Drosophila melanogaster: one gene and its partners. The protein of the gene in region 2 purifies or fractionates together with the protein of the main gene of each other region. This does not show direct contact. Each region holds a gene or a part of one and is shown on either strand. Other genes may lie near its edges.

Evidence for each region.
Region 1: the proteins of Not11 (region 2) and Not1 purify together in Drosophila melanogaster (affinity purification with western blotting; one study listed by BioGRID). This does not show direct contact.
Region 3: the proteins of Not11 (region 2) and Not10 purify together in Drosophila melanogaster (affinity purification with western blotting; one study listed by BioGRID). This does not show direct contact.

Annotation. Positions count from the first base shown.
Region 1 is NT_033778.4:9,571,600-9,582,120, forward strand, and holds the start of Not1 (Not1), read right to left. Parts: upstream 5,097-10,521; 5' UTR 4,906-5,096; coding exon 4,579-4,905; intron 4,520-4,578; coding exon 3,989-4,519; intron 3,934-3,988; coding exon 3,471-3,933; intron 3,409-3,470; coding exon 2,188-3,408; intron 2,102-2,187; coding exon 1,319-2,101; intron 1,185-1,318; coding exon 1-1,184. Other genes in the region: Nt5c (5' nucleotidase C), read left to right, coding at 7,976-8,237, 8,364-8,767, 8,853-9,148, 9,219-9,405, 9,467-9,607, 9,667-9,818, 9,887-10,091; Smyd4-1 (SET and MYND domain containing, class 4, member 1), read right to left, coding at 10,215-10,474.
Region 2 is NT_033778.4:24,035,766-24,045,074, reverse strand, and holds Not11 (CCR4-NOT transcription complex subunit 11), read left to right. Parts: upstream 1-7,366; 5' UTR 7,367-7,434; coding exon 7,435-7,680; intron 7,681-7,734; coding exon 7,735-7,874; intron 7,875-7,934; coding exon 7,935-8,292; 3' UTR 8,293-8,355; downstream 8,356-9,309. Other genes in the region: tsr (twinstar), read left to right, coding at 1-83, 156-261, 325-471; IntS1 (integrator 1), read right to left, coding at 737-4,600, 4,655-5,634, 5,696-7,013; MAN1, read right to left, coding at 8,425-9,309.
Region 3 is NT_033777.3:12,628,821-12,639,559, reverse strand, and holds Not10 (CCR4-NOT transcription complex subunit 10), read right to left. Parts: upstream 8,914-10,739; 5' UTR 8,846-8,913; coding exon 8,757-8,845; intron 8,683-8,756; coding exon 7,927-8,682; intron 7,867-7,926; coding exon 7,539-7,866; intron 7,443-7,538; coding exon 7,384-7,442; intron 7,326-7,383; coding exon 6,975-7,325; intron 6,910-6,974; coding exon 6,585-6,909; 3' UTR 6,372-6,584; downstream 1-6,371. Other genes in the region: CG11608 (uncharacterized protein), read right to left, coding at 1-65, 129-824, 881-940, 996-1,079; CG11600 (uncharacterized protein), read right to left, coding at 1,680-2,075, 2,129-2,824, 2,879-3,007; CG11598 (uncharacterized protein), read right to left, coding at 3,358-3,765, 3,830-4,525, 4,581-4,643; CG18530 (uncharacterized protein), read right to left, coding at 4,908-5,318, 5,383-6,078, 6,139-6,201; Snx3 (sorting nexin 3), read right to left, coding at 10,108-10,338, 10,576-10,671. UniProt on the Drosophila melanogaster protein: Component of the CCR4-NOT complex which is one of the major cellular mRNA deadenylases and is linked to various cellular processes including bulk mRNA degradation, miRNA-mediated repression, translational repression during translational initiation and general transcription regulation.

The DNA of each region.
Region 1 (10,521 bases), about 14 Mb from region 2:
ATTGGCGTGCAGGAACGGAGTATTGGGTGGCAGTACCAACTGCTGACCAATAAGCTGGAAGTTGCTCACGTTTACGTCCACGTATGAATAGCGCGGCTCTGGTGGCGGTAGTGCCACCTGGCTGGAATCGGTGGGTAGATTGGGCGAAGATACCGATCCAGGAGTACTATTAGCTCCGCCCGCTGCCATCATCATAGCGGCCGCATTTTGAGCGTCCACGTCCGCAGAGGATGGCGGTGGAGGTACCTGCTGCTGCGGTGGTTGCTGCTGTTGTGGTGGTGGCGGAGGTTGTGCCGGGGATTGCTGTTCACGCGGTAGAGCTGGCGCAGAAGCCACTGGCTCAAGTTGTTTCGGTTTTGGTTGCGACATCTGCTCTTCAATCCGGTGAGTTCGATTGGGATCCTTCAGGTAGATCACTTGTCGCAACTTGGCCAACTCCAGATTAAGTGTTTTACAGAGTACTTCGATTTCAAACTTCAGGTTCAGCTTAAGGTCTGGCTCCTGGTGAAGCTCAGCAAGCACGTACATGATACCCATTGTCCATGGATTGGGCGATCGGAAGATGCGAGACTTGGCGGATGACTCAAGGATCTTGGCTACGAAAGGAACCACAAAAAGCAGTTCCTGCTGGCCCTTGTGGTAAGCCTCAGCCAAAAGGGATTTAAGATCCAGATCCAACTGCAGGATGGGGCGATTGCGACCTAAGGTCATCATGCCCAACCAGTGTCCGAGGTTCTTCAACAGACTTCGATCGGAGAAATTAATAACTCCCTTATCGGAGCGCAAGAGTACCTTGATGTTGCGTAGGGTCTCTTTGGTTACGAATCGGTTGATCTCGCCGTTTTTAAGGGCATCCAAAAAGTTGTAATATAGTGTGTGGAAGTTGAACTCCATTGATGCGCGTTTGAGGACCAGATATTGCGCTAGCCACGGCCAATACTCCTTGGTCATAATCTCCTTTATCTCATCGCACTTCTGCGGTATGTTCAGCTGGCTCAAGTTGTTGAAAATAAAGGCAGTTTTGTCCTGCACAGGCTCTGGTGGCACAGTCACTTTCTCTTCCTGGTTGGCCACCAAAAGTGTGTCGATATTGGTGGCATTGGCGATGGACTTCATTCTCGTGGCATGCGATACAGCAGCGTTTGATTTCGGTCCCGATCCCGGGGTGGCAGCGGGCATATTACCTACAGAGGAATGAGTGGAAATCAACGTTATTCTCTGCGGAAATTGATTCTTTATAATATAGCGCTTTCCTTAGTATCCAATGTTCTTACTTAATTATATTAATCGACTTGTTTTGTATACTAATCATAATTACCTAACATGGAGCTATTCCTGTAAATTGGTTCCGTTCCTGGTCCGCTAGATATCGCCGAAGGAATCGTATTGCTGAGTCCAATCAACTTCTGCGGCGGCGGCTCCTGGCCGTGCATTCCGTATTCCACATACTGAATAAGGTGCGGCGGGAAGTCAGAGAAGTGAGGAATGGAGCGGATATGCTCGCAGTATTTGTTGTAGGTGTGCAATCGAGTTCTGAATCTGTCCAGTGCCGTCACACCGAAATAGTAAAGCTTAGATCCATCGGGCTTGCGGAGGGCATCCAAGACACAGCGCAGAGAAAGGCCCAGTGCAACAAAAGTGGGCACCAGGTTACGATCAATAATGCCACCAAATAGCTGCGCAGTAATCTGTAGCTCTTTCTCTGGGTATTGACAGAAAAAGCGATATTCCTCGAACAGATTGCGCAGCATGCACAAAAAGACTTCCTGCTCGCGCCGGTTACTTGACTCTTTAAATCTTTGCAAAATGTCCAGCACTTCATCGATGGACAGCGTTGGATTCGGCTGGTGGTTGTAGATGCGCTGAAAGTATGAGTTGACCTCGTCTTCAACTTCCTTTGACACAGGTATCTGGAGATCGGCCATCACAGGGTTGTTTGGATTGGGGGCCGTTGGAGTCGGCGTTGGAGTCTGCTGTTGTGGACCCCCTGGCAGCATGCGGCCTAGGTTTCCTACGTTGGGTGGTGGCGGAGCCTGCGGCATCTGCATGAGGTTCAGCGGATAGGGATTGGCTCCCGGAGTCATCAGACGCGATGGAGAAGCTGAAATTGCACGTAGAATTTCGTTAGATAGGATTAAGAGGCATCTGTGATAGATTATGCACTCATTGCCTATGAATGCCACTTACTTAGCATGTTTCCAAAATTAAATGCTCCGTTCGGGCCGCTGAGGTTGAGGCCGGCTAAGTTGTTGGACATATTCGTTAGCGGATCCATTCCTGGTCCAAACATCTGCGCGTTGAGGTTTCCGGAGAACGGTTGCTGCGGTGGCGGAGGGACTATGCCTCCAGGCAGATCCATACCACGATGGCCGCGCAGAATTGTTGGTGGAGGCGGCGGAACCAATCCTGGCTGCTGCTGCTGTTGGGCACGCGCCTTGTTAGCCATAATCGCCACGTTCGCGGTCATTTGCATGATGACTTCGACCATCTCCGGCTGCATGCAGTTATTGATGCACGTTTGCAGACAGTTGATCATGGTGGTAACTGTCTCGGGCAAAAGCTGCGCCTGCTTGGGAGGCAGCTGATCCTCTGGCACTTTTGCGTTGATAACCTGCGGGCAGCGGCGGTGCAGAACCTTGATTATAGCCTGCATAAAAGGCTCTCCATGTTCGCGAATTTTATCGGTAAGCCACTTTTCCAGCTTCAGGTACTCGCGCCGAGAGGCAAGGCAAGCCAGGTCGATAATGAATAAAAATGAACGGGCGTTGAGCAGCGCTGATAGCGCTTTTAAATCCTGGGCAAGATCCAGGATGCGCGACAGTTTCACCTGATCGAACTCATTGCCTCGGAGATACCACTCGGACATAGCATTCATGATATTGGAACGAAGTTGGAAGTTGTTCGAGCTCCAGGCGCTGGCCAAGATCACGTTCGAGTTGGGATGGTTGCCAAGGAACGTTGGTATCAGTTGGTTAAACAGATCCTGACGCAGTGGCGTCATAGGCGGACTTGTGTTCAATAAGGCCAAAAATAGCACATCGGGACAGTTCTGCGCTGGGAACTTGAATAGCTCATGGACCTGCGTATAGTATCCCTTGTCCGCAATGGAGAGCAGCACCTCCACCAGGTGAAGCGACTTCCAGGACGAGATCTCCTTATTGTCCGCATCCGGAGCCGTCTTAAGCACATCCAACGCTGGCTGGCTAAATACAAAGTCGGCGAAGGAAAAGAGATCCGGGTTCTTCAGCATTGTCGCGATAAGCGACAGCTGACCTTCCGTGTTTGCCCAGTGACGGTAAATGCATTCTGGATGTGGAAATATGTTAGAGCCAGTGGCCAGCCGAAGGATGGTGAGCAAAAGCTCCAAACCGATGCGATCCTTCAGCACGAACTCGGGATGATCAAGTTCTAAAAATTAAGAATGATATTCCTATAGATTGGCGATTGCGAAGCAATTATCTAGCTATTACCCATGCACACGTCCTTCCAGTTGAGCTGAGGCACCACCTCCTTGAGCGCCTGCACAAAGACATCTGGCTTCCAAGTTTGCGTGGCCTCCGTCGTCTCCTTCTTGTCCTTCTTATCACTGGACGAATTGCCATCGCTGCCATCGTTGTTGTTACTGCTGCCCGGGTTCTGTTGCTGCGGAGTGATTTGTGTCTGCGAAGAGCCACTGCTGTTGCTGCCACCGCCCTGTCCCTGACCAGGCCAGAAGTTCGCCGGCGTCGGTAGATTCACATTACAATCGAGCAGGGAGGAGTGCCGTCGGCACATAAGACCCACGATCTTGGCGACATCTTTGGACTGGAGCTCAGCGCGTTCTCGCTCGCGGGAACACAAATGATTCTTACACTCTTCAACGCTCGATGTAAATTCATAACCGATTTCAAGGATTAGATTAATCCAAGATGTGTCCATAATATTATTTTTGCCCTGCAACACAACATTCAATTAGCGAATTGTCTTTTTCAATGAGTGTCTTACGCACCTGGTTGGTGAATATTATCTCGCTTAAATGGTCATAAATATCCTCGATTCCCACCTCGTTCAAAGCATCTGCTTCGAAACTGGAGCTGTTGCTATTAGTCGTCGCTTCGGCCTCCGCATCCGTTTCGCTGGCACCTGCTCCCGCAATCGTCGCCGTCGTCGAGCCGTAAAGGAACGGCGCTAGAACCAGCGGTACCGCCTGGCGCGGAAACTCCTCACGAAGCTTGATCAAAAACTGTGCTTCCACCTGCGGTTGTACGTACTCGCTAAGGCAGCACAACAAATACTGCAGTAGATCGAAGGAGATCTCCCGGAGACCGCTGTCGGCTGGGCCGGTGCCTTTATTACCCAAGTAAGAGTCTATAAGTTCGCTGAGGCTACCTTTTAGGTTGTTCCTGGCAGAATGTTTGAGTTCTGTGTACGAGGAGTGGGTCAAGGCCAAGGCAAAGACGCACTCACAAACCTTGTTGATGCCGGTCAGTCGGGCGACCTGGCCAACGAGATCCGCTACCGCAACAGGCTTCAGGGACTGCTTAGGAATGAGTATCCATAAGTAATCAACACATTGTGGGCATTGTAAACTCAACTTACCTTCTGGTTGCTGGCGAAGAACTGGTCAAAAGCGTAGCAGATGTTGGACACAAACGATGAACTGTGAAGCTGACGCTCCAACTGGATGCCCAGGAGCTTCGCCTGCAGCTGGACCGTAACTGATGGCACGAGATCGCTGAAGTTGATCACGGAGAACAGGTGGCGCAGGCTGCTGCGATCCGCTTCCAGGCCGTGCTCTTTAACGAACTGCAAGATGTCGTAAATGCTATCAGTAATGTATGGTTTAGAATCAAAGAGCTGCATTGCGTAGGGTTTGGAAGCCAATATAAGTGCCTTGACAGCGACTGCCCGCAATCTGGGACACATATCACTGTATAAGGGACAGTGTATGTTTCAAACGATTCCTCAGATTCTGCGGTGACCGGGATTTTTTTTTATGTGATTTTCATCGCAAACTTGGAAATTTTGACAGGTTCTATTATGTTCTGTGAGTGTCTCAACTTTTCTCTGTACAATTGGATATGTGTTTACGGATACAGGGCAAGATGTAAAGTAACATTTTGGAGGGATTATTTCTAACTCCAGGCAACTGTTTTCAAAAGTAAATCCATTAAGTCATTATTTCTTGCCCGCTTAAAAACTTTACCCAATTGGCTTTTTAAAAGCGCAACCAGAGGGTTAAAACATGAATTTTATCATTGGGAATTCCAGTTTAGGTGCACCATTGTTGGGCTCACAGGTTTCTGAGATTATCTTGAATGCTATAACTAAATGGAAGACTATATCTCAAATTGGGCTATCGTTAAGTTAGTTAATGTATTTTCTATCCGATAATTTCTCCATGGAATCCAACAAATTCCTAGACCTTTCTTACTATAAATTCCGTTGGGTTATCCTAGTACTTCATTCCAACATTGAATATCAGTGAAAATTTGGTAATCCTACTGAGTTCGAATAACTTGAAAACTTATCAGGCTTTTTAAATGGCAGATATAGATTGTTGAGAATTTCAAAATACTGAAGTATATGACTCTGTTTTGTTATCATTTTTTTTTATCATTTTTTTTAATTTTTGAGGAATATGCCATTTACTGTCAAGAAAACGGGATCTGTAGCATAGTTTGTCCCACAAACGATTACTTTTTAGGGGATTGTTGGGCAAATGGTGCCATTCTAAGCCAAGTATTTGTTATGATACTAATTTGAATGGCAAAACTTTTCTAGGAGGCTAGATATCCCCCTCCCTCCCTACGGATCCAAAACTGTTGAAATATTTGATCCGGAGCTCGGAGTCCGGAATCAAGGCCTCACTCCGAACGGGGGAGCGAGACAACAGCTTTGGCCCCGCCGTCGCAGCTGCTCCACAACAAATTACACACGCGCCCTCTCGCTCGCACACGTTGGCGAAACGTTACATGGGTAAGGAGAGAAGAGAGCATGACGGTGCGCGAAAGGAAGGGGGTCACAGGAAAAAGTGCGACATATTGCAACTCTAGCGAAAAGAAAGCGGCCGCAATTGATATTCCCACGCAATTTGTCCCACGAACTTACTATTCAATTTGGTTTCTCTCGTTTGGCAATGAAAAAACAGAAGTTTCGGGGCCGAAAAGCCCTGCGCTTGGCTTGGGCTTCCCAATTCGAATTTCGCAATTCGATTTCGCACTACTACGCTGCAAAATTCACACTGCCATCAACTCACGAAACACGTTTGTGGCTAAGCGCACACAATTGGCCTGGTTTTACACATTCTATAAAACTTTTAGCTTAAACAAAACGCTCACAAAACGCGCAACGCCGTGCAGAGAAATTTTTTCAGCTGCCTTTACCAAAAAACTGTAATGGCGTCGGCAAAAATGCACGAGCGAGTGAAATGGCAATAGCCCATTCGTGAGTGCGAACAATTGGCAACTCTGGTTGGCCAGGTGCGATATGTTGTCGGTTTGGCAACACTAAACCCCCGCCCCCTACAAAATGTTGTTGTTATTGTTGACAAAATGAATTGGAAATGGTTCATGGAAACTTTGGTAGAATAACTTGGGCACCTACCTGATTTATTTGCTCGCTGCTCTCATTAAAATTTCGCTTGTTCACGTGCTTGACCAGATTTCGAATGTGCGTTGGCGGTGTCTTCAGTTGGCTCTCTACGTTCATAATTCTACGTATCAGTTGTCAATTCCTCAGCGGATGTTTCTTGTTGCTGTTGTTTTTGTTGGAGGCCACCAGAATTTTTTGTTCAGCACACACGTTTAGCGTGCACTGGTATTGGAGATTAGAGATATTTGACGTATTCGCTGTTGCTTCTTGGCGCTTTTCATTTCACCTACGGCGCAATTTGTTTTTGTCTCTGCCTTCCTTGGTTTTTTTTTGTTCTTTTTTGGGTCTGTAGATTCATTGGCCGCGGCCCCCGTATAAAAGGGGCCATCAGCAGCTCTACATTGCAGGCGGCATCTATTTACGCGTAAATCAAATAAACATTAAACTCGGTTTAATGGTTTCATGAGAAAAATCCGATTGGCTATGTCCTCGGCCCAGTGTGTACAATATTGCAATAGCTCACGTAATGAAACAATATGAATCAATCCGCACGTACAGCGAAAACAGAAATGAAAAAATACTACTACTACCACACACACGCACGCACACACGGGCAATTGAGGCAGAATATATGGCTGATCGTCGTCGACCTCCTTTTCCACTTCCTTCCGGTTGCTTTGGTGTTTCAAGTTTAGCTTTTGGGCTCGTTTGTATATGTATGCTAGGAAAATTACTTCAAATTTGTTTGCACTCGTGGATTTTTTAATTATTGCCGAAATGAAAATTTTGCATTCCCTGGGAAGCGTGTTCAGCAACCGATAGTTCAGTCACTACTGCTTGGCACTCACAACGAATAGTGTTACAAATCACGGGTTTGTGATTAAAATATAGAAATCCATAACGCCATGTGGAACTTATACCAGAAAAGCTGTAATACTCTTTTGAATTACCAAAAACGGCGGCAAATCTTGCCGATTAGTAACGGATAAATAGCCGATGTTTTTCCGTTAAATTTAAACTAGTAATAAATATACAATAAATTCAAATGCTAATACATAAATTACGCCTTAATAAATAAATATCAATAATAAATAAGAATAACACAATTGCTTAATCTTGTAGCGTCAAGCAATTTTAACTTCTTATTTTAATGTTTATCGTAAAGATGTTTCCGCAAAGGTAATTTATTATTAACCTATTATATAATATTTACAATTTTTTAAATGTTGGGTTCAATAATTTGAATATGCATATGGCCACAGTAGTTCCAACCGCGAGTCGGTATTTTTTGGGGGCCCTCCGTCCGGTCACACCCCGCCCCATCCACATGCAGCCCACTCCGCCCCCACATAGTGTACATAACAAACGGGCTTAATTGGCAATTTAGCAAGCAGTCAGTTAAATGTGCGCGGCAGGCAGTCCCATCGTCAGTGCTCTCCTTCGGCAGAATGTGCTCCTGCGAGCTGGTGGTGTCCTCCGGAGCTGGGACCCCATCTCCTCCAGCCTGTCCCCCTCGCCGTGCAAACCAAACTATAGTTTCGAGGCGCGCGCTTTCGCGTCGGACGCTGGAGCTTCCGCTCCAGCTGCAACCGCCCAGATCTCGCACCCAAAAACAGTGAGTGATTTCCAAAAGCTTCACGAAGCCACCAAAAAGAAGTTCCAATGTAAGCCTCAACCAGTCGCAGGCATATGCATATATGCGTAGTATGTGCACGATCTATAAATACCCAGCCGCAAAGTGGTCCCATTAGTAACATACCCTCCCGTTTCGCACCACTTGACATTTTCAGCCAAGAAGCTGCCCTCCGATGTGCATCCAGATGCGGTCTTCGCCTGCAACGAGCTCGATCTCAGCGAGGTGCAGGTGTACGGATTCGATTACGACTACACGCTGGCCTGCTATAAGCCCATCCTGGAGGACCTGCTGTACAATCTGGCTCGCGAGATGCTGGTGAAGAGGTTCCGCTACCCGGAGGACATCCTCCAGCTGGAGTACGAACCGAACTTTGCGGTACGCGGCCTGCACTACGACGTGGAAAAGGGGCTGCTGGTGAAACTGGACAGTTTCCTGCAGCTACAGCTGGGCTCGGTATACAGGGGACGTACCAAAGTGGAGGCGGATGAGGTGCTGAAGCTCTACCACAACCGCCTGCTGCCTATTGCCTACGTGGAGGGGCCGAACAATAGCTACAGGGTTCGTATCGATATCTTATCACCTGGCGGCTTACGCTTGGGTTTTGTGTTTAGCAATCAGTGATTTACGATCTCCTTTCGCACAGCATAACACCAACTCCAAAATGGTGCAATTGGCCGACCTGTTTTCTGTACCTGAAATGTGCCTGCTGTGCAATGTAATCGAATATTTTGAACGCAATCGAATCGACTACAATCCAGAGATTGTTTTCCATGACACCAGGACCGCCATGGGCTCCTGCCATCCCATTATGCACGGCAAGGTGATGCGGAACACTGAGAAGTACATAGAACGAAACCCGAAGCTGGTCAAGTTCTTCGAGAAGCTGCAGCAGGCGGGCAAGAATCTCTTTCTAGTCACCAATAGCCCGTACTCGTTTGTGTAAGGGAATGTGACATCTTTTATTTTACCACAATTAAAATTTACGAAATCGTTATGTCTGCATTTGTAGAAACTGTGGCATGTCCTTTCTGGTCGGCGCCAACTGGCGTGATTTCTTCGATGTGGTCATCGTGCAGGCCCGCAAACCAAAGTTCTTTACGGATGAATCTCGACCAATAAGGCTATTCGACGAGCGAACGCAGTCACACCTATGGGATCGGGTATTCAAGCTGGAGAAGGGAAAAATCTACTACGAGGTAAGGGTTTCCCATTCCCACTTGGTTAGTAATCAACCCTGTTGTCTGATGTTCTTCACAGGGTTCGGTGAGACAGCTTCAAGAGCTGAAGGGCTGGCGTGGTCACTCTGTGCTCTATTTCGGAGATCATCCGTACAGCGACCTAGCAGATGTTACTCTGAAGCACAGCTGGAGGACAGGAGCCATTATTAGCGAACTGGCTGTGGGTGTTTTATATCAAGCAATTATCGTATTGCCTCTAAGGGTATTTTCGTATTGCAGCACGAAATTAAAACCCTCAATCGTAAGGACTTCAAGATGAGCGCCAACTGGCTGCAAATGCTGACGCAGCTCATCGAGGACACCCAGGACGATGATAGCGAGGCAGCGCAGATCTGCCTAAAGGAGTGGATGGAGGAGCGGGATCAGTTGCGGTAAGAAAATATACATTTATCTAGTGGCTTACGATAATATCTCTAAATCCGAATCCAATCTTCGACAGCAACAAAACGAAGAACGTGTTCAACGAGCAGTTTGGCAGCGTTTTCCGCACCTACCACAACCCCACTTACTTCTCAAGACGCCTCTTCCGCTTTGCCGACATCTACACCAGCGACATAACCAACCTGCTCAAGTTCTCCACCACCCACACCTTTTATCCCCGACGGGGTGTAATGCCCCACGAATATGCCTCCCACTTTATCTAGAGAATTTGTGGGGACGAATGCCCGTTAGGAAGCTCAGATTAGTTGTAGGTAACAAGAAGTGCCAGTGTTTAATGCTTGTAGCTCGAAACTAGCGAATTTAATGCGTGTATATCGTTATTTACATTATTGCTCAATAAAATCGTTGTAATAGTTCAAGAAAACCTCGCGATGCTCGCTAGCCAGATAATCCACCTTACCTTTCATCTCTAGCAGTTCCTTTCTATCGGTGCGGCATTTCTTCTGGGCTATGATATCCCACAAATAGGTCATGCGAGCAATGTATTCCGTTGAGTTATCGCCACACTGCGCAGCAATGCCTTCCAGCTGTTTGCGGATAATCCTCGCCAGATCTTCATACTCAAACTCATCCAATGAAGTGCCTCCTGTTTAAGTAGAGGTTTATAAATTACGACGTAACAAAATCCAGCCG
Region 2 (9,309 bases):
GATGTGGAGACTGTGGCAGATCGCAACGCCGAGTACGACCAGTTTCTAGAAGATATCCAGAAATGCGGACCTGGAGAGTGCCGGTAAGTTCCGCCGGTTAGAGACACCCAGACCCATCGAAACTAACCTAATTTAACATCTATTCGCTTGCACAGGTACGGACTGTTCGATTTCGAGTACATGCACCAGTGTCAAGGCACCTCTGAGAGTTCAAAGAAGCAAAAGCTGTTCCTTATGTCGTGGTGTCCCGATACTGCCAAGGTATGTGAATAGCCAGTTGCCAAGTAATGGCGCAGAACTCATTTCGATATCACACACCCACAGGTCAAGAAGAAGATGTTGTACTCCAGCTCCTTCGATGCTCTCAAGAAGTCGCTCGTGGGCGTCCAAAAGTATATACAAGCCACTGATCTTTCCGAAGCCTCCCGGGAAGCCGTCGAGGAGAAACTCCGGGCCACCGACCGCCAATAAACTGTACGAGCACTGTGCATTGCATTTAACAAACAAGGCATGCATGAAACAGCGATGGAAACACGTATCCTGTTGAGATCGCCAATTTGTATGAGAATTTTCTACATAATTTGTATTTTCAGTAGAAATAAAGAATGAAATATTTAACTTGACCAAGTCGCGTTTCCGCTGTGGTAAAAATCTCGTACCGCAGAATACACTTTATTATAAGGAGCAAAGATTACATTGTACATATGATGACGGTTCTAACTTATAGACCGAACGCTTAATAGCCATGCTGGATCACTAGAGTCTGGAGAACCTTTCTAATCTGGTGGCCAGTGTTCAGGCACGACTTCAAGCCCAGCGAGAAGGCCACCGTTAGGATGTCGATTGCGTGTTCCTGCAGCAGCACCGACATCTCCGGCAGATTGTCAATGGCCGTCGCTGCCACCGAGGAGTTCTCGTCCCGCAGGCACTGAATGTAGGCGTTAAGGGTGCACAGGTTGATGTCCGAATTGCCGGGATTGTGCTTCAGATGCCTGATCAGTATGATGAAGGCGATGGACCGGATCTGGGCACTCGGCGAGAATATAAGGTTGAGCAGTCGTTCGAACAGCTCGTTGATGAACACAAATCTCTTGGAAGTGAGGCACTCCAGCTCCTGCATGGGACCCAAGACCACGTCCTCCGTGTTGGACTGCTTTATGATCTTGACCAGATCGAGGAAGTGCGGCGATATGTCCGTGTAGTTCGACCGGCTGTACGAGCCCAAGGTTAGAACCGATAAGGGACCCCTACTGCTGCTTGGATCGATGGGTGTTTGCGGATTCACTTCGATGGGATCCTCTGTTACCACGGGCTTGCTGGCCGATGGCTTTACATCGAAATGCTCATCCAGATCGTACTCGTACTTAACTTCCTCGTCGTCCAATTCCGTCGCCGAGTGCGACTTGTGCTGCAGCAGGGCAACGGCCTGGACCAAAACCTGCAGTTTGCCTAGTGAGGTGTACTTGGCTGCAAGTTCCTTCAGGATGCCCACGTACTGTTCGATGAAGAGCAGAGCACTTGAGGGATTGTAGTTGATGTAGGCTTGGAGCATCTGCACAAACTTGTTCAGCATTTGGCAGGCCTCTTTTACGTTGCTGTGGTGCTTGAAGAAGTTGAAGTAGCACGACAGCGTGTTTTGGATCTCGTTCTTGTACGCCTCCTCAAAGATGGTTGGTTGCAGCAGCTCCAGCGTCCTCAGGATCTGTACAAATCGGTGGAAGTGGTGCTCCTCGCGCAGGGCCTTCATGCTGAGCTGGGCCCGACCTTGCATAATGGACGACAGCACGCCCAGCTGGCGAAGGAAGAGAAGCGGGTGGGAGGCAGCCAGCTTGCGAAGGAGCAGCTCGGTGTCCGTGGACAGGGTTTCAAAGTCCTTTTTGCCCACCAGACTGCCCAAGCAGGTGATCAGATTGTTGGACACCTTGTCCGCCTGGCAGCCCTTCAGATTCTGCAATTTGTACGCCTGCTCGCCGGTTTTGCCCGGTTTCAGAAACTTGATGCGCGGATACATGATGTACATCTGCTGGAGGACCTGCAGTTTCAAGTAGTCGGACACCGAACTTTTCTCCACGTGCTCCATTACCTTGACCATGAGGTCTCGTCGCTTCTCTGTGAGCTTAAACAGTAGGTTCATTCGCGAGCAGAGCTTGAAATCATAGTTTTTGCTGTCCAGCTTGACCTCGGAAAGCCCTTCGTGAAGGATGAAGTGGGAGAACGGCTCCAGTTCAGAAGTCCTCAGCATGAAGAAGGCATCCGGCCGTACGTTCTTCGACATGTACTTGTCGCGTCCCTTCCACAGCTTCGGATTGGTGGTCAGTGCCTCGAAGTAGTTGAGGACGGTGGCGTAGTCGTAGTCTTCATGGAAATTCTTGAACAGGTACTCGGCAATCCTTTCGATCGTGTCCCAGTTGGTTTGGTGGTTGATCAGGGACAACAGATAGAACCTAAACTCGCTGCAGGACTTTGAGAACAGAAAGCGCTCCTTCATTAGCTGAGTGGAAACTATCTCGGGATCCATTTCGGACAGCCAGTCGATGAAGAGCCCGTTGTGGAAGAGCTGGTCGCTCTTGGACTTGGCGACGGTCTTGCTGTCCTTGGTCTGATCGAAGCTTTGGACGATCGCCCGGACGATCCGTTTTCGTGCCACCAAGGCGGTATTCGCCTTAAACTGCTGCGCATAAATCTCGCGAGAGTTTCTCAGCATGAACACCAAGCTCTCATGATAGAGTTCGGATTTCTGCAGCAGACTGGAGTCGGCGAATGTGTGCTTAAACATACTTAAGTTCTTTTGGAGAGCGTTCTCCAGTATGTGATACTTGTCGCTGTGCAGCATGCAGCTGAAGAAAGTCCTTAAAAATGTGCAGGCGTGACGGCTCATCGTGACACTGCAACCCACGGCTAGCACCTCTGTTATGGCGTTAACCACATCCGCTCTATTGCTGTTCGGGCTTGCTAGCATGTCCAACAGTTTTTGAATCAAGGATCGGCAGTCACTTCGCGACTCAGTCAACTGGTCGGGCTGCGTGAGAATGGTTTGGGCTACCTCCTTGGTGGCCAGGAAGTTAGTGGGTCTATCATCCGAGTCTGAAGAATCGTAATCATCAATTTCAACGGCCTCCTGAATAACCACACTGATCTTGGGCAGATCTGGCACAGTCTGCGAGTGGGAATGCAGATCCAAGGCCTGTACGGTGTAGTGCCCATTCTTAGCACCCCGCGCCTGCTGAATCTCGATTAGCTGGGCCAGATAGGCCTTGTTCAGAATGGCATTCTTCACCAGATCAAACTGCTCCAGTACAGCGGTGTCCAGCATTGCCAGCAGCTTGGACATCGAGTTGACCGGCGTGCCAAAGTTTTGCACAAAGAGCACGATCTGATCCGGCGTTAGATCGTTGAGAGCTGCCTCAATTAGTCTGTCCACCGATGAGCGGATCATCTTCAGCTTCAGCCAGTCGGGCAGCAGTTGCACCTGCTCCTGCGGCATGCTGGGCAGAAAGGCGACGGGCGCTGGTCGTCCGGGCGGAAACCAATAGTCCAAAATGGGTATCGATTCGGGCATGTTGCTGTTGGAATAGGTGAGCAGGATAATGAAGGCGTGAATGATGTTTATGTGGAGCGGTAGCTGTACTCCATCGTCAAACTGAACCATCAGCAGGTCCGGATACTCGGTCCACTCGTACGGTTCGTGGTATTCCCTTAGCTTAATTATATAGTTGTTGAACATGACGAAAAGACACTTCAGAGTCTGAATGCGGTTCTCGTCGGGCACATAGTCGTAGTCCTCCTGCGAAATGATAATGTGCTGAAACATTGTGCTGCGCTCTACAATCAGCTGCGCCATATCGATGACATGATCCAGCATTTCGTTGACCGGATCGTTGAGCGTGTGCGCAGTGATGAACTGAATGTACGCCATAATCAGTTCCGGGCAATTCTCCACCTGGCAGGCAGCTCGCAGCTGGGGAATTATGAAGGGTTTCACCTCGTAGAAGTGCGGAATTTGCTGGAGCGACTTCAGGAGCCATTCGTTTTCAAAGTCGCCAGAGTGCCTGAAGATTATCTTCAGACCCGAAAGAGCGGCGACTCGCGATTGCTTCACCGTGGACGACAAGCGTCTAAATATGTAGTCCAAAAGCTCGCAAACGATTTGGTGGCTAAGATTGCCGTCAAATATCAGGTTTCTCAGGAAATTGACTAACTCGGCATCGCGGCTATTCTCCTCGTTGATGATGTGCGCGTTGAACAGCAGAAACTCGCACAGGCATTGCACTGGGAGATGGCTGAAATCGCCCTCGCTGTTCTGAACCAAGTCGGAAAGCCAGGGCATGGATTGCGTGGTGCCCTGCCTTTGAATTATGTCCAGCAGCAAGTCCGGCTTGCGGCAGCGGCAGAATAAGTGGCCAAGCTTGTAGGTCTGATTAAGGAACTTTAGCTGATCTAGGACCATGGAGGGCACTTTGCGCGGAGTGCCCATCGGGTCCATCAGCATGAGCTGAGTGATTAGAATCGCAGTTTCCTCAGTGATAACAGCATGCGGCGATGTTTGGGCAGCCAAGTACGTCTCGAACTGCAGAATGTGATCCCGTTCCATGGTTATTATCTGAAAAATCTTTATTGTAGCACCGCCAGTTTGTTTATATAATTAAGCACGCACCTGCAACTCATCCTTGGTGGCTGATGAATTGTTGAATTGATTCGTTATACAAATCTCCATCATCATCTTCATTGTGGGATAGTGGTCCCAGCAGAAGGCTCCAAACGAGGAGGGGTTGTGTGCGGATATCATAAGCAATATGAGCCACGCCTTCCAGTAGAAGGCGATGATGGCCAGCTTTGGTGGCTCGTACTCCGCAGGCAAGCGAATGTTCTCCGGATGATGGTACTCTGACATGCTGAACAGGAAGTCGATGATGTCGAATTTGTTGGCCTGCACCGCCGGAATATTGGTAGCCTTCATCCCGGAAACTCGCTTTATGACCAGCAGCAGGACATCAAAGGTGTTTGCGATAGAGAAAGGAATATCCTTGGTGATGCCAATCAATATAATTCGCAGCAGGGTCTCCTCGTGAATCGGCGTCTCAGAGATAATCCGCAGGATTGCTCCTCGCTCCGGCTCTGACGGCCACTGATCGCAGCGCGAATACTGCTCCGGACTGTCCAGCAGTAGCAGCTTGTGCAGCGCCTGGTGGTACTCCGCAGCCGGAATCTTGAAGAGCGTGGGTACTGTTTCGTACATCCAGGACACTGTGTCCAACTGAATCTGTGACATCTGATTGTACAGCTTGAGCAGAGCATGGTTGTTTTTGGTGTCCCGATTGGTTTTCAGGGACAAACTGGCTTCCCTAGCTTGTGGCGTGGCCGACAGAAACATGCAGAGACACACAATGTCCACCATGGAGTTGAAAATTCGCTCCTTAAACTCGAACATTTCGATTTGAGGAGTCAGATCCTCCCGCTCACTGAGAAACGTCTTGCAAAACTTGACCAGGTTCACATCGAAGCGCAGCATCCGCACAAGCTCCCGTAAGAAAACGCGCAGGGTGCGCAGGCAATCGTCCCGCTGAAGCAAGAATTCCTGGTAAATCTCAGCCAGAGTGGCAGCTGATTGATCAGCAGATGTTTGAAACATTGTGGCTGGAAAAGTTTCAAATTAAGAATTATGATTTTAATTTAAGAAAAAATTTGTTTCTCTTACCCAGCATCCCCATATTGTTTGGATTCCTGGTGTTGGATAGCTCATTTTGCACGACCAGTTTCATTACGGTACTCAAGATTTCCGGCTGCAGAAAAATCATCTCCTTCAAGCAGGACATGTAGTGGTTTATTAGGGGCTTCGTCTTGAGCCGCATCTTCACCAGCACCAAGAGCACTTCGTTGTCCTGTGTGTTGCGTCCCTTGATGTTGAAGCAGATGTACGAGAGCAATTGCTGGGCGAACTTGACCAGTTTTCCGTTGTGGATCCACAGCTCCAGGCGGGAAATGCTCAGACATCGTACCTCTGCAATGCCAGAAGTGGTGCACAGGAACTTTAGGAAGTTTCTGGTGTAGTTATCCTGCTGCTGTCGCTTGTTGAGCTGATCGCGAATGGCATCGCTGACATGCTTCTGCACCACAGCATCGCTGAATCTTGATTTAGTGGTGCACATAGCGTCGGGAATTGGTTCCGATTCGGTATTTAAGGGACTTGCATCCAAGCTCTGTGTGGAATTGTCCCCGGAATCGTCGTCCACAGTCATGCTGTCTCTGTGTGCTTGACCAGAAGGCAGGGACGAGCTCACATCCCAGCGGAGGAGACTGATGTGGGGCGTGCGGGTTTTAAAGGCTGCGCATATGTTCTTCACGAGCGGGGCACACAGTTCATTGTCCGCCCAGTAGCGCTCGTTAACCGCATCGTCTATGTAAATGCGGAGCAGCACCTCCGGCCACTGGGAAATCTCCATGAAGCCCCGGGTCAGCAGATTGGCGAACAGAATGTGCAGGTTGGTGTTGTACCTCATTTTCACGTTGGCCTCCCGCCGCAGGAAGGAAAGCAGCGCGCAGGCCACTATGTCTGTGCAGAATATACTCGGCTGTACCTTGGCCACGTAGATCAGGGCCAGAAGGGCAATGTTGTCCACCTTGGAGCGCGAGGAGCTCGTCGTTGTCTGCTTTATAACGCCGCATACAAGCCGGCCCACAGTTTCGCTGTCGTTCTGCTCCAAAGCCGCGTATATGGTCTCGACCACGGTATCCAGATCGCAGTCAACGGCGAATTGCTCCCACGTCTCGCACTGACTACTACCGGAGGACATGTCCGGGGCGCCCGCGTCCTTCAGGTTGCCGCGGAACCGCTTGCTCGAGCTGGCCAGTGCGGTGGAGGCTTCACGCTTGCGGTCCGACGACGACATGCCCTTAATGGGCAGGATCTTCGACTTGGAGTCATCGCGTACGCTCTTGCCGAGCGCAAAGAGTTCTCCGCCCAGCGGAACCTTCTTCTGCGATCGGTTGGAGCCGCTTCCTTTCCCGCGATCCATTTTTCTCTGTTCGTGTGTGAAGGTTTTTTCTGTCCATAAAATGGATAATTCAAGCGCGGTGCATTTTATTTTGCTTTGCGATTTGCAGCCGTGCAACAGTTGCAGTGTGACCAGAGTGCAGGCGCTAGGGCTCAATGGCTAACGCATGCAGAAGTCTGTGCAACTGCTCTGATTCGGAACGATGGAAGCTTTGAAACAGGCTTTAATATAAATATTGAACTGTTTTCATATTTTAATTTTTATTTTTTGACAAGTGTGTAACCTAACACCCTTAGGCGCACATTTGCATACATCATTTTTCAGATGGCCCACTCTCATGTGCAGATTGTTCTTAAGAACCCCTCAACGCGGTCACACTAAAATTGTTTACAAAATTGCAAGGAAAATAATAATAATTGTAAATTAAAATCAGCGCACCAGCATGTTTCTGTCCATCGCCCCGCCCCTAATGGACTTCGAGGACGAGCTGCTCTGGATAAACCAGTCGAACAGCGACAAGGTGGAGATCATCTACGACAAGTCCAACTACATTACCCCCAACATAAAGCACCTCATCGAGCAGGCTTTTCTCCAGCCACTCAGCCTCCAGAACCAGCACATCCTCTTCGACGACCTGCTGAAGCAGAACACGGACATTGCGCGCCAATATGGACTGACCCCGGACAAGGTAAGAACCGAAAACATTGCTAGATATATGTCTTATCCATTGCTTCCATCTCAGCTACCTCTGCTCGTGGAAAGCAATCCTCTCATCTCCATTGAGATCTTGCTAAGACTGATGACGACCTCCGACATAACTGAATACTTCAACGTGTTGGTCAACATGGACATAACACTTCACTCCATGGAGGTGGTCAACCGGTAGGAATCCAAACATCGAGTATTGAAGGCTTCTTTAACATGCTCGAGCTCTCATTCCAGACTAACCACCTCCGGACCTTTGCCCACTGAGTTTATTCACCTATACATCAGCAATTGCATCTCGACTTGCGAAACAGTCAAGGACAAGTACATGCAGTCTCGCCTGGTGCGACTCGTTTGCGTATTTCTGCAGTCCTTGATTAGGAACAAGATTGTGAACGTTAGGGTATGCGCTACTACCATTTCCTCGACTGTGCTTAGTGACTATTCTATTGTTATTTTCCAGGAACTATTCATTGAAATCGAAGCCTTCTGCGTGGGTTTCAGCAAAATCAAGGAGGCTGCTACCCTGTACCGGCTTATCAAACACTTGGAAACTGGGGAAAGCGCTCTGTCGTCCAACTCCCTAGCTAAGTAGTGGTAGTGTTTAGCAGATTTTAAGTTTTAAAGTCTAGTTCATAATAAATCGATTAAATACGACAACTCCAGCTGTACATGTAAAACAAATTCGCATTTAATAACTTAAGTATCTAATGTAGAGTTGTGTGTTTTATGAGTGAGTGTTGGCTGCCTCGTTGGTGTGAAAGTAAAGTGGCTCGGCCGAGGGCTTGGGGAAACGGCTCAGGTAGCGTTCCAGTCTTAAGAATTTAATCGAAATCAGGCGCTTGTCGAACCACCAGCCGTTGATCTCTTTGTGAATCGTGCCGGCGTCCTCCTCGCTGGCGCAGCGGATGTACACGCAGCAGGACTGCACGTCCAGCTGGACATCGCAGATCTTGCAGCGCGTGCCGACCTTCTCGATGATCGACTCCACGATGGACTGCTTCAGATTGGCCTGATCCACCTCTGAGGAGTCGAACATGTGCCTAATCTTCAGGCAGGGAGTCGGCGGGTTGGCAATCTTGTTCGAGTTATCGAAGGCGGGACTCTGCCACTTCTTAACAAGCCCCACATCCTTTTTGTCAACGTTCCTGTTCCACGCAATTGTGCGCATTGCCTTCCCGTCACGATTCACCATTCCGAACAGCACACGGCTATCGTTTTTCTCCAGCTGCTTGAGGGCCTTGTTCCAAGAAGACAAGAGCTTTGAGCGCTTCTTGGCCGGCAGAAACTTCTCCTGCAGCTGGTTAATAACTACCTCGGGACTCTCGGACTGGGAGCTCAAGTAAATTAGCTCGTTTATTATGTCCTTTTGGAACTGATCGACCGCCAACAGGGCTTCCTTCTGCTTAACTCGGTATATTACTACCGCGACGTACACGATGAGAAATCCAGCGACTATTAAGAGAAGTGCACCGATAACGGTGAAAAACCTGGTAACTTTCTTCAACACAATGCACTTGAGCGGCAGATTGGGTTCAGAAAGCTCGAAGTGCGAGGTCTGTCCAAGGTGCTTCGTTGAATCCACCACTTGGATGCTCCACTGCGGATTCTC
Region 3 (10,739 bases), on a different chromosome or scaffold from region 2:
AAGTGTCTCGGCTGCCTGCTAGAAATCCCAGCCGGATGAGTGGCAATCAACATCGGAATGAGGGTCTGAAAAAGGTAGTTAAGTTGTATACATAAGCCTGATTAGCCTGCTCTCAACTTTTCACTCACCCTGTTCATGTGCTGGGATACTCGTCCATTGGTTAGGAGATACAGTGCAGTGCAAACGTCCTTCACGCCAAGAATTTTGCATATGGCTGATACCGCGGAATTCAGCATCTTGTGATGGGGCAACAACTCAATGTCCGGCAGGAGGTTGAACAGAGGCTTCATTATCTTATGACCCATCGAAAGAGAATGTTTCAAGAAGACGGGCGGGGCCAGTAGGATGGTGGTCCTGATCCGTTTATTGTACTCCGGTCTCATGCTGAGCATCACCAGCATGGATGTGCATCCCTGCGAGTGACCCACATAGTGCAAAGAGTTCCGTTTCGTGGAGGCCAGGATATGGTCAACAGTGGCGGGCAAGTCCTCCATTCCGATTTCATGCCAGCTAAAACGCCAAAACTGCAAGAGCCAGGCCTTGAGTTTGAGATGCTTCCTGGAGTACCGGGTCCCGCGACAGTTTATCAGCCACACATCGTAACAAGCATCGGCCAACAAAAAGGGCAGTCCATTCCGCGGTCCAGTTAGAAGCCATGAGTCCGCGGAGCCAGTCATGCCATGGTTAATCAAAACAACTGGCTTTGGTTCGCTACTTGCACATAGCTGTGATGATGGGATTCGGAAGACCGACAGTATGTAGCCATCCCTGGTGACCACAGTGTGTGTTTGCACCGGATAGTTGTGACTGCTTATGATGTCCACCTATAGGAAAAGGGATTACTAACGCTTTCAACTGGAGTCAACTTCAACGTACTTACCGCAGTTATTACTTTTGTGCGATGATGAATGCGGTGAAGCGAGTGATTCTTCCAGTTCACCTATAAAGCGTCCTTTTGGTAATATCCTTACGTTTTCTTCAACTATTGCACCTACCTCAGATAAGGCTGTGCTGTTCGATAGCCACACAAAAAAAATTCCAAGCAATATCGGCAGCATTTGGATGAGAAATGACTGCATTTTTCATGGATGATTGTAAGAAAAGGCCGAACTAATCCGTTTTATTTATTATTATTTATTATTTTTACAGAACTGCAACTTCATTTCGTATCTGACATTTGTGCTAGTTTTACCCGTTACTCGTGGATTAAAATGTGCAAGGTAGATTGTCTTTGGGACATCATTTATCTCGGCCCAAAAGTAGGCACGTCGATTGGCCATTTCTGAGGACGAGATAAATATTAGCCAAGTTGTGGACTTGTAGAGCCTACAGATTAGATGCAGAAGTACTTCAAGACGCGGAAGCACCATCGATGTATGCCATCGTTTTGATAATGTATACATTTTACATTATTTTTATACACTTACATACATGTAAACTGCTTGCCAAGCAGTGCGTAAAGGAAGAAAAGTAATCTAAAGTCGCAGGCAGATTATGGAAAAAATAACTATATATACTAATGCTAAGGAACAGTTTTTTACACAATATTTATTTTGGCGTCATGAAAACATAACAATAAATATATATATAGTTTTTTATTTTAGACTATTTAAGTAAAGACTTTGCAAAAAGATACCATGATTTAATGTAGAATATTCCTACATTCCTAATAGAAATGTCTATTGCTGTCTATTCTCAAAGTGATCAATAACTTTGATAATTGGTTCATTAACAACTTTTTTGATTAATTTGGCGAACAGAAAGTCCGAGTGGCTCCATTTTTCAAAAACAACGTCATGCAACACCGCCTTGTCCAACTTGCTGATCAGTATGTGGATGTCTTTGCGCGCCACCAAGTCGTCACCATGGCTGTGGTATATATGAATGGGCGACTGAGGGCGGACGTTTTCCAACGGATAATCGGGAGGCGTGTCCTGATTGTATAGTTTTTTATTTCTCATGACTCCGAAGTCATACGGACGGAATTTTCCAGATTTCCGGAGTTGAAGAAAGTGCTTTGGCTGTCGAGTGGAAATCGCACCAGGATGCGTTGCTAATATCAATGGTATGGCGGTCTAAAAATGTTAATCAAGGTACAATTTGGAAGTTGGAATACATTGTGGCTTACATTGTTCATATACGATGTTGGTTCTTCACTGGCCAATATGAACATAAAGGCGCACAATTTTTTAAACTTCGAGCATTTGCAAAAAACGGATAGCAGGAATCTTATAGCATCTAAGGGGCCAAAAAAACTACTGTCCTTCATGCTCATAATGATGTTCCCAAACATTTTCATTAGCTTGTTCCTTGCGTGCTTCATGAAAACGGCGGGGGCCATCATGTTGGCCGTCTTTATCATCCGGTTATACTCCGGCTTCATGCTGAGCAAAACCAGTAGGGTGGTGCATCCCTGAGAATGGCAAACGAAGTGCAACGCTTCCTCGTTTGTCGTGGACAGGATGTAGTCGATCATGGCGGGCAGGTCCTCCATTCCCATTTCGTGCCAGCTAAAGCGCCAGAAGGCATCCTGGGAAGCCTTCAGCCGGATGTGGCGCTGCGAGTAGCGGACTCCCCGGCTGTTGCTCAGCCACACGTCGTAGCAGCGATCGGCCAGCATGAATGGAAGTCCGCTCCTCGGTCCCGTCACCAGGAAGGAATCGGCCAGGCTGATCAGTCCGTGCTGGATAAGAACAGACGGCTTGAAACCGTCCTCCTTGCAGTTGGGTGATGAGGGAATCCGAAACATATCCAGAATGTATCCATCTCCAGTGCGAACCGTGTGCGTCTCCACTGAGTAGCCGTACTTGTCTATTATAAGAATCTAAGAAAACGGTCTTCGAATATGTGGTCCCACCTAACAATACCAGCTACTGACCCCAGTAATCACTTTGATGCGGTAATCTTTACCACGACCCGTAAAATTTTGGAGGCCAAACTTCACCTTCGGCATACCAGAGACGATCAACAGCCAGTCAAAGAAAATCACGAGCTCCATCAACAACATATTGCAATGGTTTGAATTGATTGATTGTAAAGAGATGTTAAGAATAGTAGAACTAATTTGCAATTTACCTTGCCGAACGACATAGCCATAAGAAAATTCAGTTGCGCTATAATCAAATAACATAAAATAATGAGAAACAATTCATGCATAAAATATAACATAAATAATAACTTTGATTTAAAGCTTCATATCTCAAAAGCTGTAAGGAAGTATATAAGTGACTAATGCTGAAGAAGTTGTGAGAGTGTAAAACAAAGGCATTTTAGCTTCAATGAACATTCGTTTATGAAGTGAAAGGTTATTTTTCATTCAACATTAAAGACATTCATCATTTCATATGGAAACTACTTTCATAAAAATGTAGGACTGCTGAGTCGCTCAAAGCTTCTAAAAATTTCAATGACCGGCTTGTTGATTACGTCAGCAACGGTCATGGAATGCACGAAGTCCGTATGGTGCCAGCCCGGTGTTGAGATCCGGTGCATCACCACCTCCGGCACTCTGGCGGCAAAGTTTTGAATATCCTCCTTTGCTGTCGAACTATCATCGTCGCTGTAGAATATGTGGACTGGCGTCAGGGGACGGACGTTGCTCAAAGTATAGTCTGGAGGTTCTAGGCTCTTGTAGTTGATCAAGTTCCTCAGGATCCCGAAATCGAATGGTCTGAACTTGCCGCTGTCCGTGAGCTGGATGAAGTGCTTGGGCTGGCGAGAAGAAACTCCCGCAGGAAGCGTGGCGGCAATCAGAGGAATAACGCTCTGAAAACAATGATATTTTAAATAAACTTATGTATAATATTATATATTGTCTTTGTGCACTTACTGTGTTTAGGTGTTTGGAAATTTTTCCGTTGGAAATCAAGAAGAAGGTTGTGCAGAACACCCTGGCAACGAATAGCCCGCATACATTACTCAAGAGTTTGTTTAAAACTCCGTTGTGGTACATGAACTCCTTGTCGGGCATGGCCATTATGAAACTCCTGAAGACGGTCTGCGAAAGGGTGCTTGTGTGGCGCATAAAGACAGCCGGAGCTAATAGGACTGCGGTCTTGACCAACTTGTTGTACTCCGGTCGCATGCTGAGGAGCACCACCAGCGTGGTGCATCCCTGCGAGTGACCCAAGAAGTGCAACGCTCTCTGCTTCGTGGTGTCCAGAATGTAGTCTATGAAAGCGGCCACGTCCTCCGTTCCAATCTCGTGCCAGCTGAAGCGCCAGAAGGCCTCATCAGAGGGATCCAAAGACACGTGGCGTCGGGAATACCGAGTGCCCCTTGAGTTACTCAGCCACACATCGAAGCAGGCGTCGGCCAACATGAATGCCAATGAATCCTGAGGTCCGTTTAGCAGGAAAACGTCCGAGGACGCGGACATTCCGTGCTGAAAGAGAACCGCCGGCTTTGGTCCAGATTGCTGACAAAATTTAGAGCCCGGTATCCGGAACGCGTCGAGTAAATACCCATCTCGTGTGAGCACTGTGTGTACTTCTACCGGATAGTTGTGCGAGGCTATAATTTCGGACTTTGATAGGAGGATTTAAAAGACATGAACTACGACTAATGATGCGTGTGCTTACTGTAATTAGTCCCTTGGCAAGGTCAATATAGAGACAAAAGAAGACAAACGCTTTGTACGACATATCGAGGAGGAATAAGTGAAAAAAACGCTGATATATGAATAATATTTATCGGTTTAACGTTAGATCTAATCTCATTTATACATTTCATCAAAAAAAAATCAATATGTAACGCTTTAACGTAAAATTTTGTGGGGAACTCTCTAGGTAATGCAGCATTTTACAGCTTATCATTAAGTGAAAGATGTTGTACATGAAAGAAAACCTACTCTTCCGTAAAAGACCGGACGTAGTCGATAATGGCGGGCTGGTACTCGATATTATTTATTATAGACTTCCTTTACAGTCGATAGGTTGCTCAAACCTTTTAAAAATTTCAATGACCGGCTTGTTAATCACATTAGCGACGGTCATAGAGTGCACGAAGTCCATGTGGTGCCAGGACGGCGTGGAGATCCGATGCATCACCGCCTCCGGCAAACTGGTGGCGAAGTTTTCAACATCCTCCTTTGCGGCGGATAGGTCATCATCGCTATAAAATATGTGGACTGGCGTCAGGGGGCGGACGTTATGTAGCGGGTAGTCGGGAGGTGTGAGGCTCCTGTAGTTGATCAAGTTCCTCAGGATCCCGAAATCGAATGGTCTGAACCTGCCGCTGTCCGTGAGCTGGATGAAGTGCTTGGGCTGGCGGGAAGAAACTCCCGCTGGAAGCGTGGCGGCAATCAGAGGAATCGCACTCTGGAAATGTTAATGTTCAGAATAAATACAATATATATTTTGACCATTCGACTTTGATACTCACTGTGTTCAAGTGATCTGAAAATTTTCCGTTGACGATCATAAAAAAGGTCGAACAGTACACCCTCACAACGAAAAGCCCACAAATTCTCCTCAGTATTTTATTCAAAATCCGGTTGTGGAACATAAATTCGCAGTCGGGCATAGACATTATGAGCGTCCTGAGAAAAATTTGTCCCAGCGTGTGTGTGTGCCCCATAAAGACGGGCGGACCTAAGAGGATTGCGGTCTTCACAAACTGGTTATACTCCGGACGCATGCTGAGTAGCACCACCAGCGTGGTGCATCCCTGTGAGTGACCCACGTAGTGCACCGCACTTTGATTTGTGGTGCCCAGAATGTAGTCAATGAAAGCGGCCACGTCCTCCGTTCCAATCTCGTGCCAGCTGAAGCGCCAGAAGTCCTCATCGGAGGGATCCAAAGACACGTGGCGTCGGGAATACCGAGTGCCCCGCGAGTTACTCAGCCAAACGTCAAAGCAGGCGTCGGCCAACATGAATGGCAATGCATCCCGAGGTCCATTCACTAGGAAAACATCCGAGGAGGCGGTCATTCCGTGCTGGAAGAGAACCGCCGGCTTTGTTCCAGATTGCTCGCAATAGATTGAGTTCGGTATGCGGAACGCGTTGAGTAAATACCCATCTCGTGTGACCACTGTGTGAATTTCCACCGGATAGTTGTGCGAGGCTATGATTTCGGCCTTGGAAAAGAGAGCGTAGCACTTGCCTATAGCTATAATTATCGACTAAAAAGCACTTACAGAAGTTATTCCATTGACTATTTGAGTACAGACACTCAGAATGACAAGCGTTTTATACGGCATTTCGAGTAAGAGTAACTTGCACAAGTCAAAATAATTCTGACCCAACTTTTAAAATTCCTGAGATAGATACTTAAAATTTAAGTGTCCAACGCTTTAACGTAGAGGGTAATCTAATTTGTAGAATTCCTATGAAAAAGTCTCAATGACTGGAGTATGCAAAAGTTCAACGTAAAATATTGTGAGATAATTTGCTATTGCCAACACCAATTCTCTGTGTACAAATATATAAGCACATATGGATTAGTTAACAGACATTGTTTTATACACCTTGTTTGCACCCTGTAAAATGCTGAAAAACTGATGATCGTCAAACAAATAGTTCGCTTCCTCGTCATTTCATTCTTGCACTTTAATTCCGTCTAGTTATATACACAATTTGTTGTCTAACTCGGCGTCCCGCCAGGAACGGGACCCATTTTGAGGTCCATGAAGCGTCGCAAAGCAAGCGCCTTGTTGGCAACCAGCGAATGAGTTAAATTGGCCAGGAGTGCTTTAGCTTGAGGCAGGTCGTTCTGTAGAGCCATGGCAACGGCCAGATTATACCGCACAACGTTCTGAGCGGCGTCCACCGACTTCAGTTGCCAGTCACGCGTCTCAAAATCGAAGGCGTTTAGTGTGCCCACAAAAGTAGGGTCCAAATGGTCGCGTGCCTCGCTGGCCTTGTCCATAAGCATCAACGCCTCGCCAGCGTACATGTGACCTAGCAATCTGAAGAAAAAAAGGTAAATATGTTAAACCAAACATGGGAAGATTAAATAGAAACTGTATTGTACTTGTGTGCATCGGACAAGCGTTCACAGGCCAGCAGTTTTTCCGACATCTCGAGCGCGGTCACATGATCGCCTAGGCGCAGCGAGACGAAGCTGTGAGCAGCATATATGGCAGCCATCATGTTTTCCAAAGACTCTAGGCTGACTGGCTTCGAGGGATTGCAGAAGTTATTGTCCTGGGGATGACGCCAACTCTCCTGAGTTGGGTCCTTGGGTTCGGGTGCTTCCACATCCTCCGAGGAGACCGCCGCCATGTGAAACCTCGTCTTGTAGTGCTGCGTAAGCGTTAACGCGCTACGTAGACACAAGACAGCGAATTCCAGCGTGGGCTCTGGAACTCCCGCCGATTGAGGACTAAAATTAGGAAAAGTTTACTACCAGCAATGAACTAAGCTAACGAATTAGCACTTACGCGTATGGCTTTGTTGATGGCGTTTCTGACTGCGACTGGCGCTCCTCCTCCACTAGTTTCTTTAAAACAAAATAAAATAATTTGAGATTTAAGACAAATAAATACCCTATTGTGACTCTATTGTACTAGAACATGTTAGTGTAAAGTTGTCTTACCGCCTCATGCTCCATGATGCAGGCCTCAGCCATGCGCAGCCAAAGACGTGGATTGCTGTGGAATTGCTTAACGGGAACCAGAAAGCACTGAAACGCCTCCTTGGGGCGTCGTAGGTGCAACATGGCCACACCGAGGTTGTAAAGGATCTCGCAGGACCGTGCCGAACTCATGGTTTGCAGCGTACTCTGGCGCAAATTTCGCGCCAGCTGCTGGTCAAAGTTGAGCGCATTTTGGAAGAACTTGGCGGCGATGGCATAGTGACGCACTCTTAAGTGTATCACTCCCATATTGTTGGCAATGCACGTGCTCAGCTGGGGGGTTATAGTGCTATTAAGATAGACAATAAAATAGTATGTCTTCTTTGAACTTAAAATGAAGCAGACTCACCCCGCTTGTGTACACTCGTTATTGATTCGCATAAGCTGCTTGGCGGCCATCTGAAAATCCTTCATGATGTAGTACTGCTGAGCCTTCAGAGCAGCGTACTCCGGCGTGCCGTCTTCCTGAATAACCACCGGTTTTCGGTTAAGCACGAGCGTTATTAGCTGCAAGAGCTGCAGACTACCGCCCAGACCGGGCACAGCTCCCTCCACAGCTGCTCCTCCTGGTGAGGCCACCACTGAACTGTTCGTCGCTGCTGACGGAGGTGCTGTGCCGACAACAGCTGCCTCTTCGGCCGCATTGCTGCTAGGCGCTGTGGCCACCAGGTTAAGCTTGTACTGCAAGTAATCCAGAAAGGCCTCGGCTCGGTTTAGTTGATTGGTGGCCAGCAGCAGCTGTAGCTGTAGTGTGGCCACCAGCGCTGCCATTGCCTTCTCCAGGGCTTCCAGACGAGCCACTAGTGGTGCTAGTTTCTCCAGTGCCGTGCCGAACATATGGCGGTGATAATAGATGACCGCCCGGTTGTAACGAGCAACAGTGGCGGCGGCAGCTCCCTGCTTAAGGCTCAGCCCGCTGGACACGTCTCCGGGCGCATCTGCATCGGCGGTTAGAGCCTCCAGTTCTTTCAGCAGGACGGAGTGTTGGGTGCACCCGGTTTTGTAGTAGCTGACCACCGCCCGGTTGTGCCGCAGGACAGGACCACTGCTCTCGCCGCGCGTCTCCAACTCCTGGAGCAGTTCCAAGCAGCGATCAAACTCCGAGCTAGAATGAGGAGCAGCCGGAAAGGAGTGGCGGTTATGGGTGCACTTCCCGGTGACACGCGGATGAACACTCACTTGTTGAACTGCTCGTGCGCCTGGCACAGCAGACTGTAGTTCTCGTCCTCGCCGGCCTGCGTTTTGGTGGGGGATTCCGCCGAGTCCATGCCAAAAATAAATAAAAACAAAAAAACCGAACCAATCCACAGATGACACAGCGTTGCCAGAATCAACAAGCACAGCGTTGCCACTTTTAACCGTAACTAAAGCGGTTAACCTTATTAATAAATAAGTTAATTCTTAACATTAAACAACTTGTTAAATTTCTTGTTAATTTATTAATTAAAAATTAAATTGTTAATATGAACAAATTAAAATATATTCTATATAAAATTTTAACTTTACAATGGTCAAATTGGCATTTTGCTGTCGATAGGTGGCAGCACATCACTAGTCTAGATTTGCAGCGCGCGAAACCTATACCTTTATTTCAACTGAGACTTTTGTTTGTGATGATATATAATATTTAGAATAATAAAATATCCATTTATCGTTTACAATTTTTGATCCACCTACCCACCCAACTGTAATTATCCTTGCATTCAATCGAAGTTTCCTGTTTCATCATATTGTTATTAATCCTCGCCTGGTTTATATGATGGGAACTACATAGATTCAACATCGACCAGTTGAAGAACAAACTTCCATCCCGCAGAATTGGCTAGGAAAAAGGCTAATATTTTATACAAAACTCAACTTAATCTTCAGTTGCGCATCATTTTCAAGCACATTCAAATAATATCAGCAGTTCAATATTTTTGAATTATTTTAATTTGATTCGAAGTACAATATTATTCACTAAACTGTTTCAAAATATTCAATAATTTGCATACACTTACAAGGGATCGATTTTGGGGTCAGGATGGCTCCCTTATTTTATTTGCTGCTTCATTACCGCTGCAATGGTTCAAAACGAAGAAACTGAGGATCGGGAAAATGGGAGGGGCAGCTCCTACTTTCGAGACTCATTTAGCGAGGGCGTAGTAGGCATGTCTTATGTACACTATTCGTAAATATGTGTATTGTGTATAATATATATATATGTGTATGTATATTGTTATGTATACCATATAAACTTGAATTTAGCATTAAAAATTCCCAATGCTGGTTTTTAACTAATCCCCGGGGGCTGAGAGGGGCTCAACATTAACTGAGCAGCAGCACTTCCCGCCTCGTATCGCGTCGCATAACAGATCCCTTCTCCACCAACCTACATCATCGCTCATCTGCTCCATCCTCCTCCAATCCGGGCAAGCACACACATTCACACGGCTTCCCATAAAGATTTCGTAGCAGGTTTGTTCGTTCGAGTTTTTGCTTCATTGCATTGCTATGGTTAGGGGGTTTCGATTGCGCCGGACTAAGCTGCTTATGTGTTCCGAATCTTGCCGGGCACGTAGTTCTTATCTATGACATTCTCCTGCAGGAACATATGCAGGCAGCGCTCGTTCTGCGCCAGCGGATGTCCGGCTATCTTGTTGATGAAGGCCTCCAGTCCCTTGCGCCGCTCCTCGATGAAGCTTTCGTCAAAGATGCCCTCGTCGCCGCGGAAGGGCATCTGCCGCTTCCATGCCTTTCCTGGGAGTGGTGGCACCACAATCTGCGGGGATATGTATGTTCATGATTAAATACTCTTCAGGCGCTTATCGAAGTTTCCGTTTTCACTTATAAAACTCAGGGTTAAGTTTCCTCTTAAGGATTGAAACTTTTCTAGTGGCTTCTTATAATTACAATGTATTGTTTCGTAATTCTATCTAAATAGATTCTGAATAGTGCGGATTTTGAATCTATTAAAGTGAAAACGAAAGACTACCGCCTGGATCACACTTGTCCGTACCTTGCTATCCCGCTCCAGCTCGTTTCGCAGCCACTCAAAGTCGCTGTAGCGTCGCCTGACACTGGACTCCTTTACCTTAAAGACGGGCAGATTGGTCTAAAAAAGGAGCGATGGTTAATCATATGTGGTGGCCAATCTTATAGAGTAATTCAATGAAAGGTCGG